2 linked regions of the Neodiprion lecontei genome follow. The protein of the gene in region 1 interacts with the protein of each later gene in a pairwise test. Links are inferred from orthologs where the notes say so. Each region holds a gene or a part of one and is shown on either strand. Other genes may lie near its edges.

Region 1 (11,204 bases):
GTTGACTGAGGAGAGTAAAACTATTGAAGAAGCTGGACTTAAAAATTCTGCTATAATGCAGCGACTGTAATAGAAAACGTTTGTGAGAAAAAAAAAAAATTGCCCAACTTCATACAACTGTAACTCTTAGTTTAACGAATATACCTTTGATCATTTCCAAATCAGGTTTTGTACAAGCAACTAGCGACTTATTTATACTTTACATAACTGATTTACCAACATCAATATCACATTAATTTATCCAATCATAAGGAAAATCTCAATTTCTTTTTTTGTGGAGAATTTTGTTTAAAGATAATATCATGTTACGCAATGAAAATTAGTCTAGTTACTGATGATTACGGAGGAGCTTTGCATAGCAATCACAGGAGCGTGGATTAGAGTGAGTTGAAGAATGCGTAAATAAATTTGAGAAATTGAATATATGACCTCAAATTTAATAGTTGAAAGGGGTAAGGTTATTGTACAAAAATATCATTGATCACTCATCATTGAGTAGTGTAAAGCCAAAATTCGATTATTTATATTACGTAAAAAATAAAAAAAGAAGTATCAATGTTTCAAATTACAATATGACAACAGTTCATCTCATAAGTCATATTACGTATACAAATCTTTAGTACTTTTGAAAATATAAATAGATAAGCATATCGCAGCAATGTTTGTAAAATCAGAGTGAGTGGTGAGTAAAACATAGCCCATATTATTGTGTATAAAACTTTTCGGGCCTCTTTTGGCACAAATACGCCAATTGTCAAGTTCAAAAAAATTATGTAACTCTCACTCAATGTTTGTGCTATGAATTAACGGATGGTCCAAGAATAGTTTCCATTGATACTTTACCGACTACCTTATAAAATCTATTCAGAGCATAATGGATGAATATATAAAAGTGCGCGAGGGTAGTCATCACCCGAGGGAATAATCTTCAACTTTATTCCCTTGTTACATAACGTACTATATTTTAGAGAATATATATATATCTATACACATTTGCGATATGTTCATTAAGTGTTAGAAATTTTTTGATTAGAAATTATTTCTAACAGTGATATTTTTTATTTCACAGTTACGATTATTCCTTCTTGGCCATTGGAATTTTTTTTTCCTCCACAAGGTGATCAAAATTAGACATGACAAAATGTATGCGTGAAAACTGGAATTTTTCATTGATCTACCAGATAAATTTTTTTAACCCTGAAATTTATATGAAATCGATTGCTTAGAATTTGTTTAGCTTCAACTCAGTTTCGCTTACGAAAATATGGAACATCAACTGGTTTCAAAGGCTGATTGTATGGCCAGTCCTTTTCGGTCTTAGGCGGATATCCATCGATCCGTACAACCATTCAGCATATTTAGGAATCTGTTCCTCAATGGGAATTTCATATTATTTACATTCACCGTATTGTACCCGATAATTAAAAAAATAATCATTTGCTGATTGAGCTTTGTCTGGTCATGTATTGTTTAAAAATTGGCGCATTTATTATATTTTCAGCAAATTTTGAAATTGATCTATCATGCGTATAGCTCATTTCATTTTCGGAATTTGAACAATACTGATAACGATTTACATTGATTAAGTCTGCACCAGGCGAAATATAGCTATCAATATCAATACTATCTGTAATCCAACTTTTGTGTGGTTTGCTAATAGAAACGTGACGATTTTTCATGCTACCCTCGGAAATCTTGCGAGTTTTTTTAAAAATCATTAGTGTGGTGTTTCCAGTTGGATGATAGTCCTCTTGTTGGGTACAAAACAATGATGAATTCAGTCGATAGTGATCACTAGCTAATAAGCCTTTCTCAAAATCTATTAATAACTCTGCCAGAGTATGATGATATTTTAAAACAATGTACTCTTCCCAGTACAAAGTTATGCTATATTTGACTTTATTGTATGTACGATAAAGACAGTCCCTTTCAGCAATTTCCCCAGAAATGCCTGGAGAAATTCTAGTATAGGGAAAATTCCATGGTACGACAGTGAATGTGACGTTAAGCCCTTGGCTATTCATTATTTGTTTCATAGTATCTGTAAATATACTTGGAATACCGTAATCGTAAACAATAAAATGATCAACTCCGATCATTTGATGAAAACTTAAGAAGTTCATCATGTCCGTACGAGAAATAGATCTGTTTAATGGCGGAGCTATGCATATGGCTATATCATTGGTTATCAGGTTATGTGGTAAATTTTGCACACTTAAAATTGGATATTCACTTTCAGATACGTCCCTTTTATTAAAAAAGGACACTCCTTCAGGGATAGCAGGCTGAGAGTACTCACAGACAAACTGGTACGCAGCATACTCTAAATTTTTCCTAGATTGGCTTTTAAGTAAGTTGCTAATTCTTGAATGTTTGAATATCCCCAGAACATGCTGTTCTTTCCCTTGGATAAACACATGGCAATTTATGTCTGGAATGATATATGTTTTCCCAAAGGCGATCCCTCGGACTTCATTTATGTTTGCATGGTAAGCTGCGTAAACAAACAAGTCATTGTTTATTCTTTGCCAAGATGGTAGTGGTACGTCAAAGTGGAGATGGAGATCATCGGAGATATCAATCTCTCCTAAGCGGTTGACGTCAGGTTCCTTAACTCCGGGCTTACCAAAGAAACTTATCACTTCTAGGACGTATCGCAGTTTGTTATATTCATGCCTGTAGAATAGCAATGATACCACACTCACCAGAGCTGTGATAATTAATGCTGCTTGATAATATTTCCTCATGCTGCTGTTATTGGGGCGTTTTGTTATTGTTATAGTCGTTGCAGTACGTGTACTACCACAATTATGTCTTAGATGGGCCTGTGCGATATCAAACCCCTCTTTTATCATACTAATCTGGTTATCACCCTGGCAAAGAAAATGTATTATGTAGGTAATCAATTGTTTACTTTTGTAAGTCTTTTTATCGTAAACAATGTGCGAATATGATAACGTGTGACAAATATTTCAAAGCATACCTGATCTAAACAGCTCTTTGGTTTGTTCGTTCTTCAATTAGGAATAGAAGAATCTGCATGGCAAATAAATTCCTATGGATATTACTGAATCGTGTGTTTTCTATGAACGTAGGTCAATGGAATTGATCTATTCACAATTCATTTCATACCGGTAAAAATAGAAAGTGAAATAAATTAGAAGAAACATAGACGCGCCGTAACATTTTTTCTGTGGTACAGTTGTGGAGATTTTGAGATTGGCATTCCAGTCTGGTTATGATGACAGTAATCAAGACTGACATCTGAGTATACGTGATGGTAACATTCGTTCTTGATGTCTTTACATACCGATAGTTCATCGACTCAAGTTGCGCCACGCAGAGGGCACTGCTTGACGATGAATTTATGTTGTCTATTTTCGATAGATTGGATCGGTTAGATTCACTTCCTCAGATTCGATGGTCATGGATTGTGTTATGTTTATTGAGATTGAGTTTGTTTTGCGTTCGGCCGACTGTGGCGCTGCAGGTTTCTCTGTGTGCCAACATAACTGTTTAGTGTAAAAAATTAGCCGTCTCAGATTCATTGTCCCTAGTGTACATACATACCGATACATACCCACACCATCCAACTTATCACCATCATGGCGCATGCGTATGGATACTCCATTTGTAACATTGTGTATTGGATGCATTAAATATATGTATATGTATACATACATCCATACACACATCGGAATAGCATCATACTATCGCAGCGCAGTAAATGAACGATATGCCTTAAATGCTTGGTGAAATCGGATGAGTTGAAAATTATTTTACTTCTGAAGAGAAAACAAAAATCATAATTACTCATATCTCCACCGTGGGCATTGCGTTGAAACAAGTTTCTAGCGAGTATGGAAACTGAACCGGTAGAACTTGAAGATGGAGAAGTTGTGGATGACGAGGTTAAACATTTTACGTTTGACAGAAAGCTAACCTTCGTTGATATCTTTACTCAATTCTGCATTTATATCTACAGGAATAAGTTAATACGGTTGATTTGAGTCGCGATTGTTACACAACCATTGCATTCGATCACAAACATCGATGAGTTTTATGACAGAATCCGCGTTTACCAATATCCACTTTTTTTTTAGCATTTCAGTTTTTGGAAAGACTGATATGTTTCATTAAAGTGTAAAAATTCTGTAAGGACTCTTTACAAAGCCTAGTATATCCATAAATTTTACATCATTTACCTTTGTACAGGTTGTCGATGCGTTCGAGTACAATGTTTTAGAGCGGCCTCATGTTGCCCCCAGACCTGAGGATACATCGTCCAAACTACATTACAGTGATGAATCAGATGAGCCCACGGAATCTGAAAGTGATTCGGACTCAGATTCGGCACATACTTGTTCCAAGAAGCCAAAGATGAAGATAAAACGGTGGAAGAATAGAGAGGTAGAGAAAAAAGAAGCTCAAGACAAGTACAAGGTGTGGTGTATGCAGGTTCAGGAAGAAGCACTCACGGAGGAACTTGTATCATGCGGGGTCACTAAGCGAGATTATCAGGGTAGAAATGTCGAATTCTATGACTTCACTGTTCGATATTCCCCCAATGAACAACAGACACCAGCTGAACTTAGTTCGGATACTGAGAAAGATGCTCCACCTAGGATTAACAACAAAAGGACAAATGAGGATAGGACAAACCTTAAGTTAAGGCTTGGTAAACGAAGAAATTCTATGGAAATTGATGGGCAGCGAGGAGTTGCGAGAAAAATACTTGACTTGCGCACCACTGCCGATTCTGATGACGGAGACGTAGCTGCAGATATAGCGGAAAAGCTGTGCGAAAAGAAAGATGATCTCATAAGTAAGCAAGAGTGTGAATGTCTTTTTATTCGTAGTTATTCCTGTTAAGGGTAAAGTTATCATCATCTACACTGTGATGTTGATTTCAATTTTCAGAAAGAGCAGTGAGTATAATAGGAAAAGAAAAAGCCATAGATTTCTTCGAACAAACTAAAAAAATTGAGGAAGACGGGGGAATGATGATAGTGAACGGATCACGTAGGAGGACTCCGGGAGGAGTTTTTTTGTTACTATTGAAGCAAGATGATCACATTCCTCAGGAAAAAATACGAGCAATTTTCCAAGAGGACCGTAAACAGACTGTCGAACAGAGAAAGCAGGCGCAAGCTTCCAGCAGGAGACGGAAAACACAGGAACTAATGCGGAGTCTCGAAAGTAATTCAAAATATAACATATTATGCAAATCATTTCATATAATTTATACCTCTAGATTACTATACAGTGAAACTTCTTTTAACGCACACCTCCCAACAAGGATTCTTCTTTACAACGGACAGTATAAAAATCTCTAGAAGCAGAATTTACACGCTAATATTGTTCTGAATAGTGGACACTCTTCAATAACGGACAATATGTTTAGTTCCGAAGATGTCCACTATTCGGAAATTTCACTTACGCTCTTTTTTCCGAAATCTTACTGTAACATTTACAATGTAAAGCTAATCTTCGCACTTATTGATTCCTTCATAATCTAAAACATTTCTGGACCAAATTGTAGATGGCTCTGAAAAGGATCTTCCAGCCCTACTAACGCGTGCCGAGCTCTCAACGAGGCAGATCGCGGAGGAAGCGCGATTGAGGAGAGGGGAGGGTCGTGATAGAGAAAGAACTCCGCCAGACTCTGACCGTCCAGTGACAAATCCACCACCCAGTCCCGTAACAGATGATCCCGACCACACACCTCCGTCTTCACGTAGACAAGTTCAGGATTACGCAGCCGATGACTTCCTTGAGATTGGGGTGGATGTCGACAGCATGGAGTTGTTTTAAAATCTACGAACAAGTTTATATTACGCGAGCGTATCGATATTATCAATTATTAGCTCTATTTTAGAGCTGGAAAGTTGTCTCAAACTTTACAGAGGCTGCTGATGTGTTTTTTTATACGGAAATTTACTGCATTAGGACAGTACAGGTATGCATACAGATTGGTGACTGAAATAATTACTTGGCTATTGCCTGAAGGTAATTACGATCAGTGAAGAGAGAACAGTACAAGTACCAAATAAACAATGTCGTTCTCTTTTGTTATTCACGTTTTTTTTGCAATTGATATAACTATAAATATCTGTGCATGAATCAAAAATAGCTAAAATAATTTGAAAAAGCTGCATTCACTTCTCCTATCCGTTGGATGAAATCCGCCTTTAAAGATCTCCGAACGGGCATAAAATATTCTCTTTTAGTTTTGTCAGATTCGTGTTGTTTGGCACGTTTTACGTGTAGTAACGTGGTATAGTTTATGCTTAATCGAATTTTATGTAAATTCACACTGTGTTTATCCTTCGCGTTTGTTTCTACCCGGTTTCTGAGTGGACGCCAAACAGATTTTAATGTTTCTATATAGTTGAAAGGAAACAGGAACATGATTGCAAGATGCCTATATCGTCGGGGCGCAGCCTCTGTTACCGAATTAAGCCAATAAATTTATGTACAGGAAGTTACTTTTTCAGGCGACTTCTTAGATAACATGTAATCATAATGTATGAAATATAAGAGATCGAACTAAGTCTAAGCGCCGATATTCTGAAACGAAAAATTCATTTTGTAATATATAATCTCCTCGGTAAGATCCGAGAGCATTTTGTGTGTTTTATTAATGCTATACTGAATCAACCCAGCAACATATTTCTATGGAAACGGTTCTAAGTCGATTCCTCAATTTTGTCACTCAATATTCGATTAAGGAATTTTTTTTAATTTTAATTCCGGCAAATAATCAACGAACAATTTAAGTATACTGACTTTGATCCCAGTCCATATTTGGATAAAAATAATTGAACAAATGTTTTTGATGTTTGCAATATTTTATTTGTGGTTTATTTGTTGTCATTTTCTATTCGGGAAAAAATCTTCGTAGCTACAAATGTTATCTTATTCCTATGGGCTTATGCCATTTCTCAAAAAGACGAAAGCTTATAAAAGAATAGGGACCGTTTTGAGAATTAACATTAATATGTCAAACCCGTCATGGAGTGGAGTTTTTTTACGGTTATGAAAATGACCCGAGGCTGTGATATCGTAATTTACTGACATCGAGAATAAACGGATATTGAATGCATGTATATAGCACCGAGGGATTGGAGATTGTTTTTTTTTCCTCTTTAATAACGCTAATTTACTAATACTCAATACCTACTACTGAAAGTAAATTACTATCATGCCCTCCGGTGACTTTATACATATATACCTATGGCCTTCGGAAATTGTCTTCAATACTGGTTTAAGACTGTATCAGACTTCTTAACGTCCATCATTCCAGGTTTCAATATGAGTTTTTTGAACATCATTAGACGGTTTCCGCGTAGACTTTATGAAGTATGTTTTAATCATTTTTAAATTTCGCCTTCCTTTCTGTTTAATTTGTTAATCGCATTTGTCAAATTAAATATTACTTTTCTGTTCCGTCTCTATTTTTTCATTATTTCGCATAGCTGAAGATTCATATGCCGAAAGGACTATCCATTTCTTAAAATTTTCAAGTCGACATTTTGATACGGATTCATTTCTTCGGTAAATCGAACTTTCGCGATTTCGTCAGTTTCCTGAAATTTGTGTCGTTCCTAGAAGACAATCCGCGTGTAATCGTTCCTTTGCATGTATACATACCGAGACAACGAATCTGTGATCAACTCATGGAATCAACTAAATTTACGATTTCTTAACGCCAAATAGAAATTCAGTTAGTTCAATTAAACATTAGTTGATGTAATTAAAAAATAGTTTAAGTAAAAATGTCATCGATTGATGAAGTGATGTTTAGTTGCAGTGACTAAATTTTTTAGCGGCCCTTCATCGCCGATTTGCTAATTGATTCAATCGATTCTTTTTCTCGGTGTATGAACATACATACATATTTTTTATACGCCGCGCTATATTATACTGGTCTACAGTGACGAGAGGGTTGTTATTCGCAGATGGATATGTGACGACACAAGATTCGACATTGGTTTAATATACTTACGAAGCAGGAAGCATTCAACGATCTGAAGCGGAAATCTATTTCCACTATTCGTGTTCGTGGTTTATTAAAGTAAGGGTCTCAGTTAATGAGCTTGTCTCAATTATTGACATTTTTTGAATGTGTCCGTTTGATCTTTAGTTCTAAAATTACTAAAAAATGAATTCGTAGTGCCTAACCCTCTAGCGATTGGTTGTAATCATCGAGAAATTCACAATTTGTGTTGTAAATTTATAATTTTGGAAAATAAACGGGTCAATAATTGGGTCTAAACGTGTGAATAACTGGTACACTTACCTTATGCTTATTTAGCTTTTTTCTCTCATTAAGATCAGTTTAATGAGCTTTAAGGATTATTCTTGGTGTACGAAAAGATGCGTGACTTCTTGTGCGTCGCACAACATGACAATGCTTCTTCTCTTCAGAATTTCGACAATCCGTTTCGTCACGACTTATCATCTATCGCGAATTTGAATGATGTTCAGTTCCCCGGCCATATTTCGCCAGCTACGAGTCTTACACACTCTACTGAAATATCTGTCACATTTCAGTGTATTTGATGAATTTTCATTCCACGTTACATCTACTCGTTACGGTTTTATTATCCGTGTCATAACTTATACTGGCATGTTTCGTGATATATTTCGTTGACTTAAGAATGATTTCACTTTTCACCGCGTTGTATAGCACTTCTCCACTTAGGCATAACGCTATTATAACATGTACTTGCGATATATCCTGTCACAATTTGATCACGTTTAAAATTTCGCGTATTGTGCTGTATTGAGAAGTAGGAAACTTTAACGACGTATACGGCAAACTAATATTGCTGAAACGTCTTACATCAGAAACATAATTTCACGATTTCCAATGTATCAGCCAGATTTCCCAAATCAATCAATATTATGTTACAATAGCGTTGACACATGGCAATCGTTGCCATCAAACAGAAAGGACGACCGCATTTTGTCCTTGATGGTAAAAATATGACCACGATTGCGCATTATCTATGAAGAACGTTCTATGAATATAACTTGCTCGGTCGCGTAATGCAGTTTCAAAATTTTGCTGCGCATGAAGTAATCGTACGGTTAGGTATTTTCACGATCAGTTTTGTATGTATAAAAGTAGAATATTGTGGAAATGTTGCTGCAATCTGTCTGTAATGTATTTTGCACGCCAGATAAATATCAGAATATTTCACTGCAATCTTACCGAAGTATTACGAAGATAATGAGTCCTGCATACAGTTAAGGATTTACAGGTAAAGTTTTTAGTTTCTCGCTCTCGAAGAAAAATATTGGTATAGTTCTTAATGACATGTTTAATAACAATATACAGAAATTCGATGACCAAGTTAAATTATAAAAAACCCTACATGTGCTAAGGTTTAAAGTGCGTAACAAGAACGGTGGAAAGAACCATTACGTGTATTAAGAACATTTAAAAGCAATAGCGAAGAGCGGAGGAGAAGGTGAGAGGCCGTGGTTTTTCCTCGAAATGTAGAACTTATTGTGAACTGAACAGTTATCGGAAAGTTTTCCCAAGCGCAACTATCAATTACTTGAATCCGAAAATACCTTCGGGCTATCTGTGCGAGTTAAGTGGCTGCTAGTGGCAGAAGGAACGGGATATTGATGATGACAGAAGATATATAAACCAGGAGTTATTCACAATCGAAGACAGTCCAACTTTGGCGCTGCAGAAACGGGCTGGTTGATGTTTACAACTGACATCGCTTGTCCAAAATATAAAGAAGTAACATCCAGAAAAACTTGTTCCGAATTTACATATATATTTCAATATCAGAAAATGGCGAAGTTTGAAAAGGTTTGTGCCTTCGTTATTGTACTTTTCGGAGTCTTATCCATCTGCCAGTGCGCTGGTGTCGATGATCTATTAAACGATTCAACGTTAGTCAGAAAGCAGCTGAACTGTGTGTTGGACAAAGGACCGTGCGATGCGATTGGAGTCTCTGTAAAAGGTAACTGCTAAATTAAAGTAACAATTTTGCCGGAATTTGGAAAATCAGGTGCAATTATAGTCCAGCTGACTGTAATTGTCAAACGTCATGACTGTGAATTGACTGGATCATTCCGTATCCTTGCACAATCTGTAGGTGTTTTGTAATAATTTTACGAAAGTGCATCAGTTGAAACAAAAGAAATCGCGCAGATGGTTGACTGTAGAATAATAATAGTTCCTCGTAAATGCGAATATCTAGCCCGACTTTCAAACATTTTTTTATTTTGTGTGACAATAAATTTTGATAATTACGTAAACTGTTTTTATTTTTTAACAGCTTCAATCAGGGAAGTATTAATCAACAATTGCCGCAATTGTAACCAACAACAGGCAGCGAATGCACGTAGAGTTATGGAGTTTGTGAGGACGAGGTACCCGGCTGAATGGAACGAAATAAGTCGCAAGTACGTGGGAAGCGCCAGGGGATGATTTAATTCGAACAAAATTATTGTAAGCTCTGTTAATAAAAACTTGTCAATTCAATAAAAAAAATATAATGTCTGTTATCGTATGAATCGATATATTATGTTACTATTAATTCCTGATTAGTTTTTCTCTGATTTGCATTTCCACTCATTTGTTTTCACCTACCGCCTTGTTACGTCGACTGGCGACGCTTATTCGAACGTACCAGTAAAATATTCTTATCCTTTAACGTCGTGCTTCAGTCGAATCTCCATGATTTGGTGATATTCCGTGACTATTGTTCGTCGCGTTGACAGTAAAGTACAGCTCGCCTGCTTAGCCAGAATTCAATCGGTCTGTCCGTATCGAGATTAACGTTAAGTAGATAATTATTCATACGACCCATCGAGTCAAACGCGTAAATATCTTTGACAACGGATGTGTAAAGTGGACATTCGTATTTTTCCGATTGGCTGATCAAGTCCGTTAGTCTGTAGCGCAGTATCGGCATTCGATTCCACAATACCTTTGGCGAGCTTTCGACGAGCACCATCCGTTCAAGATCCCATCTGGCACTTGTCAGGAACAATCCGCTGATCAAGACTCCATCGATGGTTGACTGAATCGGCAAGTCTTCCGGATGGTATGTCTGAAGAACTTCAAAGTCAAATCGAGCATCGTGTAAAGCAAGGCCTCGTTCTCGGGTGAAAGTCAGACGTGCCGCAGCCAAAAATGCCGTTCCCGAAGAGATACCGCCGAGCCAATAGGC
Region 2 (10,365 bases), on another chromosome or scaffold:
CCAAAATTAGGTATGAAAAGATTGTTTGTCACCTTTTTTCTTTGTTCCACCTTCATGCTTCTTGAAGATGAGATCAGGTGTTTCCGTTTGTCTGCTGAGAGCTACCGATGGAAATCCACTGGTTGAATTTCCCATTTTGTGTTCCATAGTATTACGTTGTAATGGATGAAATTCACTCAAGACTTGCTGTTGCGATCGCAAATCGCGTCTAATATTAGAGAGAGTGCAAATTCGAAAATTTTAATATTCTATTATTAGCAAACATTTTATTTGGTTGTGTGCAATGACGTTTTACTGTGATTGAAATGATTATTTCAAATTTTTCAAGTCGAAGTATTCGCTCATGTACTAAAAAAAAAGGAGAAGAATAAGATAGGAAAACAGAATCAATGTGCTTTTATTTAAATTATTGTTGTTATTATTACTATTGTTGTTATGATGAAAGGTAACTATTAGAAAATGCTTTTCTTTCCATCCTTGAATTTGGTTGTTTAACAATGGGATAATTAAATTTTAAAAAACGTGCAATAATTATTAAAATCGCAGTACAAATTATCTTTGAAGATGGTATACACAGGCTTACCAAGAGACAGCCATCTTGCATCTTTAGGTTTCGAGACTAGTCTTGAACTCTAATATTATTAACTCGCTTGTGCCAATTAAAACGAAATAGTCAAAGCATGAGCCTAGTTGACTATTTGCATCGAGATTCATCCTATGTAAAGAATAAAAACGAAGGCAAAACAAAAAAGAGAAAACAGTTCTTTATCTGTAATGCTGCAGAGAGAAAGTTTTCAGAATGAGAAATCAGGTACCTGCATTAAACATTTTTCAATTTGTATTAGCGAAGACGTGAAAAAAGAAACTTAGCTTTTTTTTTACACTTTTCTTACACTTATTTTACACCTGCTACAACACAGGTGTTTAAATTTAATTAACGCACTAAGAAAAAGCCTTAACTAATTACTTTTAAGGGTGAAAATTAAAAACGTACATAAAAATAGAGCGAGCAATCTTTGATATATCATGGCTTTAAATCTGTAAATGACTGCAGGCACTGTTACTAAACATGTTACAAAAAAATCGCGTCCGATATTCTGATATTAAAGTAGCGAAAAGGTGAAAAAATTTACCTACTACATGCATCCAAACGACATTCCGTAACATATTATGAATGTAAATAAAGTTCATCTTGTATAAGGTGCCTCAGACTGATCCGATAATTAGTGATACATACCTGTGAATTATTGTTCGCTTCTCAATTACACCGCGAAGTTTGTAGTCGAAGGACCAAAATATCAACAAGAAATTAATACTAGTTCTACACATTTCTTCGTGTTATTTCAGCATTGAAATTTACCTGGAAACGTCAGGGATATGATCAAAAATTAAAAATTTAAAGTGTAGTGTATACAATTTTTCAGAAAACTTCACTGCGATACGATTAGTGAATTTATTATTATTATTTGGTATCTTTGGGTAGGAGAAATAGAAAAACATTTTTTTTTTTTCTTTTTAATTAGTAGGAATTTTAGAAATATAACTTTCTAACAACACTGATTGTTTTGACTTATAAATTTCTGTTAGAAAATATCTCATGTAATGTAATATCGTGGATTTTGCATTTAGAATATTAATCCTTACGCTGGTGTCTCACTGGGGTCGCTGGAGACCCCATGTCAAAAATCATTGCCTGGAAACGGAGATATCGATTGAAAGGCCTTGAAAAAATTCTGGGATACTCTTTGACTATTACGTTTCAAGGAAGATTATATGAATTTAGCAAAACGAAATTATGAATATGCAAAAAAAAAAATCATAAATCAACAATGTACCAAAAAATTAATTATTCTACTCAGAAAATCATAGCTGACTGAATTTTCACTATTTTGAGCTGAAAATTTACTCAGTATTTTTCTAGACAGAGATAATCAAGAAAAAAAATATGAAGATACTTGCACGATGAAAAATAAGTATCCATTTGAGTGAGTGAAATTGAATTCTTGGGAAAAGAATGAACTAATGACTTTTATGATATTACATTGTTTATCTTGGATCAAATCAGATTATTTTTGATGTTTTTCACATAGAATATACGGTGAAGATGCAACGGGGTCATTTTGACCCCGGTGTGCAGCGTAAGGGTTAATACAATAGCTTAATAAACCGGTAGACAATTTTGATATCTAAGTCGAAAGTACCTAAAATTCATGATATTTGAATGAAAATTGTGAAATGATTATCCATTTATTTTACTCAAAACTGGTTTGACTAATCATATATAGTTTTTTTTTTTTTTTAATTTCTTACACAGATATATTTAAATTACATGAGATCAGAAGATATATGTAAGAATTTGAAATGTTTAATTTTGGTTCGGCGTGGTCTGAATAGTTGATTTACTGTCGCACCCATTTTTTTTTTTTTTTTTTTTTTTTTGCGATCGATTTTGAATTTGTTCGTAATTTGTTTTTTTTTTTTTTTGCTAATGTACGGTTTTCTATTTAAAAATTTTCAGTGCAATTTTTGAATACACATTATCAAGTCTTTATGAATTACACATTAAGTGGCATCAATAATTACTTGGTACTATTTTAGTTTATCCCACCATTCAATTATTATCACAATTTTGATTCTGCTTTATCGTTATACAATTTCTACTTAAAGATGGTACAACTTGTATTTTCTCGTGTAATTAGGAATAATATTCAATTCTTTAAATGGAAGTGTTTTTTTTTTTTTTTTTTGTGGAAAATGTAGGTACATTTCAAAATAGCATCAAGGTGGATGGGTCTAGTTAATATGCGATAAAAATTGTATATTCGAACAATTTTGCATATTGTTATCGCTCTGCGATACGAAATATTGAAATTTAAACAATTTATAAAATATTTTGTTTAAGTTTGTCAACGTACTTGTTATACTATAGTTTACATATTTGAATTATTCTTAACATGCATGTTGACCGTGAAATCAAACTTATTGTCTATGCAAAAAGCCTCCATCTTGAGAAACGTGCACGTATGCAAACAGTATAAATATTAATGTAAAAAATGTATATACTTACTTCCATATTGTTATTAGGGTGTTTTTTTATGGAGCAACATTTTTTTTCGCTCCCAAATGAAAAACTAATACTTAATAAAAATAAAAAATAAAAATGCAGTAGGTTATCCTTCAAATTCAATTTTGAAAGGTGGCTCGGAATTTCAAATTTTTCCATTTGATTAACATTGTAAAGATTTCACTAATTGTTTAAAAAAAATTTACCATTCAGACGCATTTCATTATACGAACTTAATCCTCGAAGCATTTTTAGAGGGTAGAATTTTCTTCAAAAGCGTTAAACGTTAAAACCTCGAAAGTTCATTTTATATAAGAATTCATGTTTAAACTTCTTTAGTGGCTGAACTATCGATTTAACAATAAAAATTCTACACACGTTTATCCATAGAGTTTAATTCTCTACAAAATGTTTCTAGGTAGGATTAAGTCTTTATTGTTAAAAGCGGTTAAGTCGTGACAATGTAAGAAAAACTAAAATTGCATAAGTAATGTCTGTCTATCCTCGTAAATTTTCTTTCTATATATCAACAAGTTTGACTGATAGGAGCGGAAAACATGTTGCTTCAAAAAAAAGCACCCTAATTGTTAAGTAATTTTAAGCGACTATTAACGAACAGTGGAAATACTGCCTGAGCATTCCAATGTTGTGTTTGTCTAGTCCATCTTGTACATAACCGATTGAGCGATATCGTTATTGATAGTATGATAAAAATACTGAAAGAATTATGCGTTACACTTACTTACACACGTAACGTTGGTGTAGACACTTAAAAAATGACTTTAAGAATATACATAATATATAGTAAACACATGTTCTGTAAGATACAAGCTTTTAATAATATTGCAATCATGTTGCCGTTGCTGTCGCCGCATTGTGACAAGCCATATGGAGTCTGTTCATTCACCGGAAGACAATTTTCTTCGTTATTTATTATTCAATAAACAATTGAGAAGCATTGACTCGTCGTGTTACCCTCAATAATGCAGGGTATTGATTGCAGCCATCCAACTATTTACATTTTCATGGCAATGCGACCGTATAGAGTTCGGATGTTGTAATAACGTATTACATGTAAAACCTGTCGAAAGCTGCACTTGGCTGCATTTCCAAGGCCAATTCACCGTTTCACTACAGTGTCTTGGTATTGTTACTGCAACTTCTTCAATCTGATTATACACTATGAAAATAAATATAGCTTACAGTTATTATAAAAATATAAATAATTATTTCTGTCTCAAACATTGAAATTTTTGTCGGTGAGAGGTTAACCACCCTTGAAACCTGGTTTATGCCACTCGTGAGATCATCTGAAATCATTTCAATTCTCTGAAATCTTCTGAAATCCCGTCAAATCATCTGCGATTACGCAAAATCTTGTGATAGCATCTAAAATTTGTAAAGTATCCGAAGTTCTTCGAATCCCAGAAATCATTTAAAATCTCTAAAGTCTTGTAATCCTTTGAAATCTTTGAAAACACTTGAAATATCTGAAATCCTTCGAAATCTTGTGAAATAATGTGAAATTATCTGAAACCTCTTGAACTCCTCGAATTTCCTAAGATATTCAAAACTGCATTACATAAAATCTCCGAGATCCGGGAAGTCTTGAAATTACCTAATATCTTTGAAATCGCGTAAAATCCTTCGAAATCCTGTGACATTTAGCGAAATCATTGAAATCACATGGAATGCCTCAAATATTCTTAGATCTATTGAAATTTTCTAGAATCTCATCGAAATCATCGGAAATTCTGTGAAATCTTTTAAAGTCCTTGGATACAATATGAGTGGTTGTTCCACCGACCACCTTTCGCTTGTTGGTTCTTTCCTCGTGGATTCCCAAGGCCATGTTTCATACAAATTGCTTATGCGATAGACATGCATATAGTCATTATCGTATACAAAATGTCGCCGACGTTGCGATGCTATGGCAACGCTTTTCGGGCAAACAAAAGCTCAACCTTCGAGCTCGTCGACGGATAGACGTGTCGGATGATTTACTTTCTACTTTTATCAGTATAAACAGTTACGGAATAATTTATCAGCATTTATCATCATGGACGCGACGTGAGTCTTGTAATTGTTACGTCGTATTGATTATTATCCTAAATGCAGTCCGTATATTTACCAATAAATGAGATTACGCGGGTTCTGTATAACTTGTTTTACTTATGAGATTGAAGTTCGTGTTATTACGTGAATTACAATATTTTGCAAGTTCAGATTACCTGAATATAAAGGTAATTGTACCCTTTGCGAGTCGAGATAATTTCTGACAAGTTTTCGTAATTCTAGTGTTATTGAAAATGAAAAAAATCAGTTTTATCTGTTTCCTAAAAATTTCTTTCTTCTCTCAGAAAATGATTCCAATGTTTCATGGTGCAATAACCTTTAAAAATACACAGAAATATCAGAATTCCAATTTTATCAGATCTTCAGTAAAACGAAACATGAGAATCCGATAGAATACATGAGTTCTGATCGAAAACTCGAAAATGTTTCTTGTGATCTGAATTTAAAATAATGCTGAATTTTGCTATAGTGTCCGAAAATATGATTTATTTCTTAGAACTTTCCAAAAAGCAATTATGAAGTTATACATTCATTTTATCACAGGGTTAATTTTTCTTTTTTTGTACCATCATCATTTACGATTTTTTCACGAACTTCGAACCTTTCCGAAGAGATGGAAAATAGCGATATAATTCTTATAAACGACCTTCAACCTCGCGATTAAATTATTCTACGTCAGTTTCCAATTGAATGTATTAAGATCCCTGATGTAAGCGTGGTTAGGACAATATGGCGTCGGAAATTGCAATCAGCTGATCATTTTAAGCAAACATAGGAGATATGAAACCGCAGGAAGCACTGTGCAGCTTGTTGGACTTTCATTTACTGACGTTAAGTCAATGTAGAGTAAAACACATGAGAAAAAACCACTTTCATCATTGAATATGACGCAATTAGTGTTGCATATTTACCGCCGCCAGAAAGCGTAATTCTGAATTCTAGGACCATTATGCCAATATGACACTGCAGCAGCGTTAATATAACTTCACTCGTTATTACGCATGTTTTATGTCTTGTGTTTCGTTTAGAGAGGAAAGTATGAGGGAAATGGCACTCCGACTATCTTTAGAAGATGAAAATAAGCGGAAGACCGATCGTTCGATTACTCACGAACGATCTATTATCATTATAGGAAGCAAAGGAGTGGTAAGTGGTGGAAACAGCAACTTCAAGGTTAGACAAATACCCTCGCGCATGAATAGTCGGGCGAGTTGATATATAATATGAGATACAGTTTTATGGGTGAGTGATCAGACGCCGTGGCATTAGTCAGTAATCGCCTCGACTACCGCAAGAGTTCCCATGGGGCGTAAAATTTGAATGCGAATAAGATTTTGAGTCGAAGTGTATGATTCGCTCGATTTTTGTTGGTCGAATTCTGACTATGTAGAAATTTGAATCCAAGATTAAAAAATAAATTGTACCTCAACTGGTTCACGAGTTATGAATTTTCCAAACATTAATTCATGTTTAAATTTGTGAAATCAACATAACTCTCAGAAAAAAAAAAAAAAAAAAATATAGACGTATTCTTTCTTGTCTTGAATCAATATCGTTTCTTTCTACCGATTTCAAATCAACTACCATTGTGATCATTATGTTTTTATTATTCTCTTTGTTTTCAAAATTTTTTAGAGTTTACCTTTAACAAACAAGCTTGTCCCTACCAGGTGCAAAATTCAGTTCGAGAAATTTTTGTTTAATTTACACACTGCGGTGATTAAGTTTTTTATGAAAAAATTAACAGTCGAAGCAGCAGTAGCCTGGCCTTAAAGCTGATCGACTCATACGGCTCCGTATATTCGTCTATCGATCGGTTTCAACGTCGAGCCCACAACCCTGGATACTATGGATTCAAAGGGGGAAGGGAAAGCATGATGGGGTGCTTTTAAAAACGTTTGAAAAGGCACACCTTCATTGTTTCAAATCGATTATTCCACATTCATTGAGCCAGTGCGGAGTGTAATTAAATTACACGACGTTATGTTAAATTCTTGCCGGAAATTTTCTTACAGACGATTAACAGAAGGAGAAATATGGGTGGCTCGAGAAAAGAGAAAAAATTACCTACAAGTTTTATTTTTACGTATATGATGTGTACTTGAATATTTTTAGTAGGAAATTGCTTATTAACTCTGATCCAAACGCCCATGTTTTGATTGATGTTGTCAAGACGGTGTAATCGAAATTCCATAATGCGATAGTAATTTCAGGGAAAAACTACGATGGTTTACCGGTTTTTGGAAAAAGAAGAATCGCCCAAGGCAACCATTGCTATGGATTATTCGTTCGGACGAAAGGCTGGAAAAAGCTTAGTAAGCATTATAGATACGACAATAACCACAGCAATATAAAAATGCGTCCAAAATAATGATATGCATGCATTTTGTAACAAATATAAGATGCAAGTCATACTCAATATAATCAATTAATAGCCTCAAGCAACGATTTTCCGCAAGGGCTGGCATATCGTATCAGAGTTTTTTCACAGCAAGTTACTCGTATTTCAAAGTAAAATTGAGAAAAATATGATAATCTTTTATTTTGATTAGAAATGTGGTTGTTATAAGGTGTAATGAACCACACCTCGTTGATCGCGACTCATTGAAATTTGCCATGAATTATCTATAATTATGTAAACATTACCAGTTTTTTATGTTCCTAAATTAAAATCACATTATCTCCCATCACAAAAGTTCAAATTTTGCGAAAGAAAGATCAAATCGGGTGTTCAAGAATTGCACGATAGTTACAAATGTATCTGAATATTTACAATTGCAAGCAAGTGGCACAACTTGATAATTAATCACTAAACTCCAAATTAGCAATTGTTGATTTCTATGCTGCCAGGATTATAGCTGTGAAACGATTTGAAAGTTTGATGAGAGGTGTGGCACAAAGTTTGTTTCGAATAATGCCAGTTTTCGACTTTAATTGAACAAATATCGATTGAAACTTACCGCGTACAATAAATCCAAACATGCAGGATAGCAATAAATTTGTATGAAATCTGACGTATTGTCAAAATCTTACACGAACCGAAAACGTTTGGAGTTTTACTGCATGGTCTGCACCGTCTAAATCAACAATTCGAAAAAGAGAAATAAGCGTGTAAAAAATCCTCAGCAATTTTATTTGGCCTGGAGATAGTGAACACGAATAAAAGATTATTTCGGAAATGTAATAGAAATAATTGTGAGTAACTTAGAATAACACAATCTAAGATGCTGACAATCTAAGAAAAGGTTTCATAATCAGAACGTTTAGAATGATTGAAGTCTGTTTTTTTTTTCATTCGATTTCAACGTTTTTGGGCTTACTTTTTTCCCTTATTAAATCCCCATAAATTGTTTTAAAAAACTTTGATAAATCTTGTATTATAGCATAGTTATAGCGCGTAAATGTAATTACTGACGAACATTTGTTGTACCGTACTTACTTACACAACTGTATCTTTTGTCGTGAAGGGTAAGAATTCTCGACCTCGTAGATAATATATTATTGAATCTTGGTGAGCGGTCATAGAAATGTAAAACGTATTTTCGTTAACGTTTCGGCCCGGATATGGGCCCTCCTCAGAACGATTAATTTTTTTATTTAACTGTCAAGGACAAAAAATTTTTTTATAATATAAAAAATATACAATAAGACATTAATTACTATAGACGTAAAACTATTGAAGCTATTCTCTATTGTAGGATAGTGGGTACATATTAAATATCTGTTATGGTTATAAAGTGATAAAACTTAAAGAGTAATTTACCTTTTATAGGAAGGAGGATTAATATACAGTCAGAATCGTAAAATACAATTTGGCGAGCGCAGGTTCTTCAAATAAATGACAATAATCGTTGTCAGCTTCTCCAATTGTTAAAAGTATAGTTGTTAAAAATATGGAAGTAATTAATTAAAAAAACTGTGTATCTTCACTGTCTATAAGTCAATGTATTAAAAAGTTTTAGAGAAAGGGTTTATGGTAGTTGAAATAGTTTAAAACAATGTCCAAACGGTGGTACTGGTATCATTATGATCCTGTTCTCCATGTCCGAACAATTTTTGTTAAACCGTTTGAGTCAACTGGTAAACAACGACTGATGGGAGAATCAAATATGACCAAGAGTGAAGGTGAACAAGTATAAACAATTATAAAAACATGTGGCCTGGGGACAACAAATTTATGTACTTAGTTAAGGTTAAACAATGTGTGCTGTGTGGGAGGTAATCAGCGGTTTGTAAATATTGCTAAGATGTTCAACGTCTTGTTTAAGATTAACGGAATTTGGGTGTCCTACAATATTGCACATTTCTAGTAGTAACCGTTTATAATAATTGGGTTCTTCACAAAGGATGTTTGCATTGTCATAGTTAAAAGTATGTTGTTTTTTGGTCACATGTTTGGTTAGAGCAGTATGTCGATCCTCATTGTCTTGTACATTGCGTTTATGTTCTTTAATTCTAGTGTCTAGATGGCGGCCAGTTTGTTCGATATACACTTGATCGCAATCGTTACAGGGTATTTTGTAAACAACATTCGAACGTTTGCCCATAGGGATCCTATCTTTTCCCGAATTAAAGACAAGTTGTAGGTCTTTTGAATTTTTTCCCACAAACTTGACATTGTATTTGGTAAATAACCTATTCAATGACTCAAAGAGGCCCGATACATATGGGATGGGAATAAATGTAGTGGCTGGTCTATTGTTTTCGCTGCGGAAACAGAGTCAATATTATTGTCTAGTAGGTCCTTGATATGGAAGCGTCTCTTATTTATATGTTTGTGTAAAAGGCCATGTGGATAGTCGTTCCATCTTAAAATATTATATATGAGTGACAAATTTTTTTCATGGAATTCTATATTTGATAGTTTGATGGCTCGGTCAACAAGATTAAAGATGGTACCTATCTTGTATGACATCGGGTGGTGAGAATTAAAATTCAAGTATCTTTGAGACCAAGTTTTCTTGTGGAACCAATCTGTTTTGATTTCAGAGTTGTTATGTATCAGTAGTAAATCCAGGAAATTGATGGCATTATTATTTTCTATTTCGATGGTGAATTGTAATCGTGGATGATATTGGTTGAAAATATTCAGTGTGTAGTCTATTTTTTCTTTAGGGACTGCAGTTGAGATATCGTCAACATATCGGAAATAGAAGGGTAAATCAAAATTTAGATTGCTGATGCATGACCTTTCTAGGTCTTCCATCACCAGATCAGACAGGATT

What was found. The genes of interacting proteins can lie anywhere in the genome.
Region 2: the proteins of phosphorylated adapter RNA export protein (region 1) and cytoplasmic dynein 2 light intermediate chain 1 interact in a two-hybrid assay, tested with the Drosophila melanogaster proteins (2 studies listed by BioGRID). The link is inferred for Neodiprion lecontei from reciprocal best matches to the Drosophila melanogaster genes Phax and CG3769.

What each region holds. Positions count from the first base shown.
Region 1 is NC_060260.1:40,516,872-40,528,075, forward strand, and holds phosphorylated adapter RNA export protein, read left to right. Parts: upstream 1-3,692; 5' UTR 3,693-3,860; coding exon 3,861-3,911; intron 3,912-4,215; coding exon 4,216-4,825; intron 4,826-4,920; coding exon 4,921-5,199; intron 5,200-5,542; coding exon 5,543-5,814; 3' UTR 5,815-7,109; downstream 7,110-11,204. Other genes in the region: NSFL1 cofactor p47, read left to right, coding at 1-70; uncharacterized protein LOC107224896, read right to left, coding at 1,434-2,855; dynein axonemal heavy chain 7-like, read right to left, coding at 10,731-11,204.
Region 2 is NC_060261.1:16,698,362-16,708,726, reverse strand, and holds the start of cytoplasmic dynein 2 light intermediate chain 1, read left to right. Parts: upstream 1-5,166; 5' UTR 5,167-6,148; coding exon 6,149-6,286; exon of another isoform or gene 6,287-6,313; intron 6,314-7,344; exon of another isoform or gene 7,345-7,353; coding exon 7,354-7,455; intron 7,456-10,365. Other genes in the region: uncharacterized protein LOC124292848, read right to left, coding at 33-208, 1,238-1,329.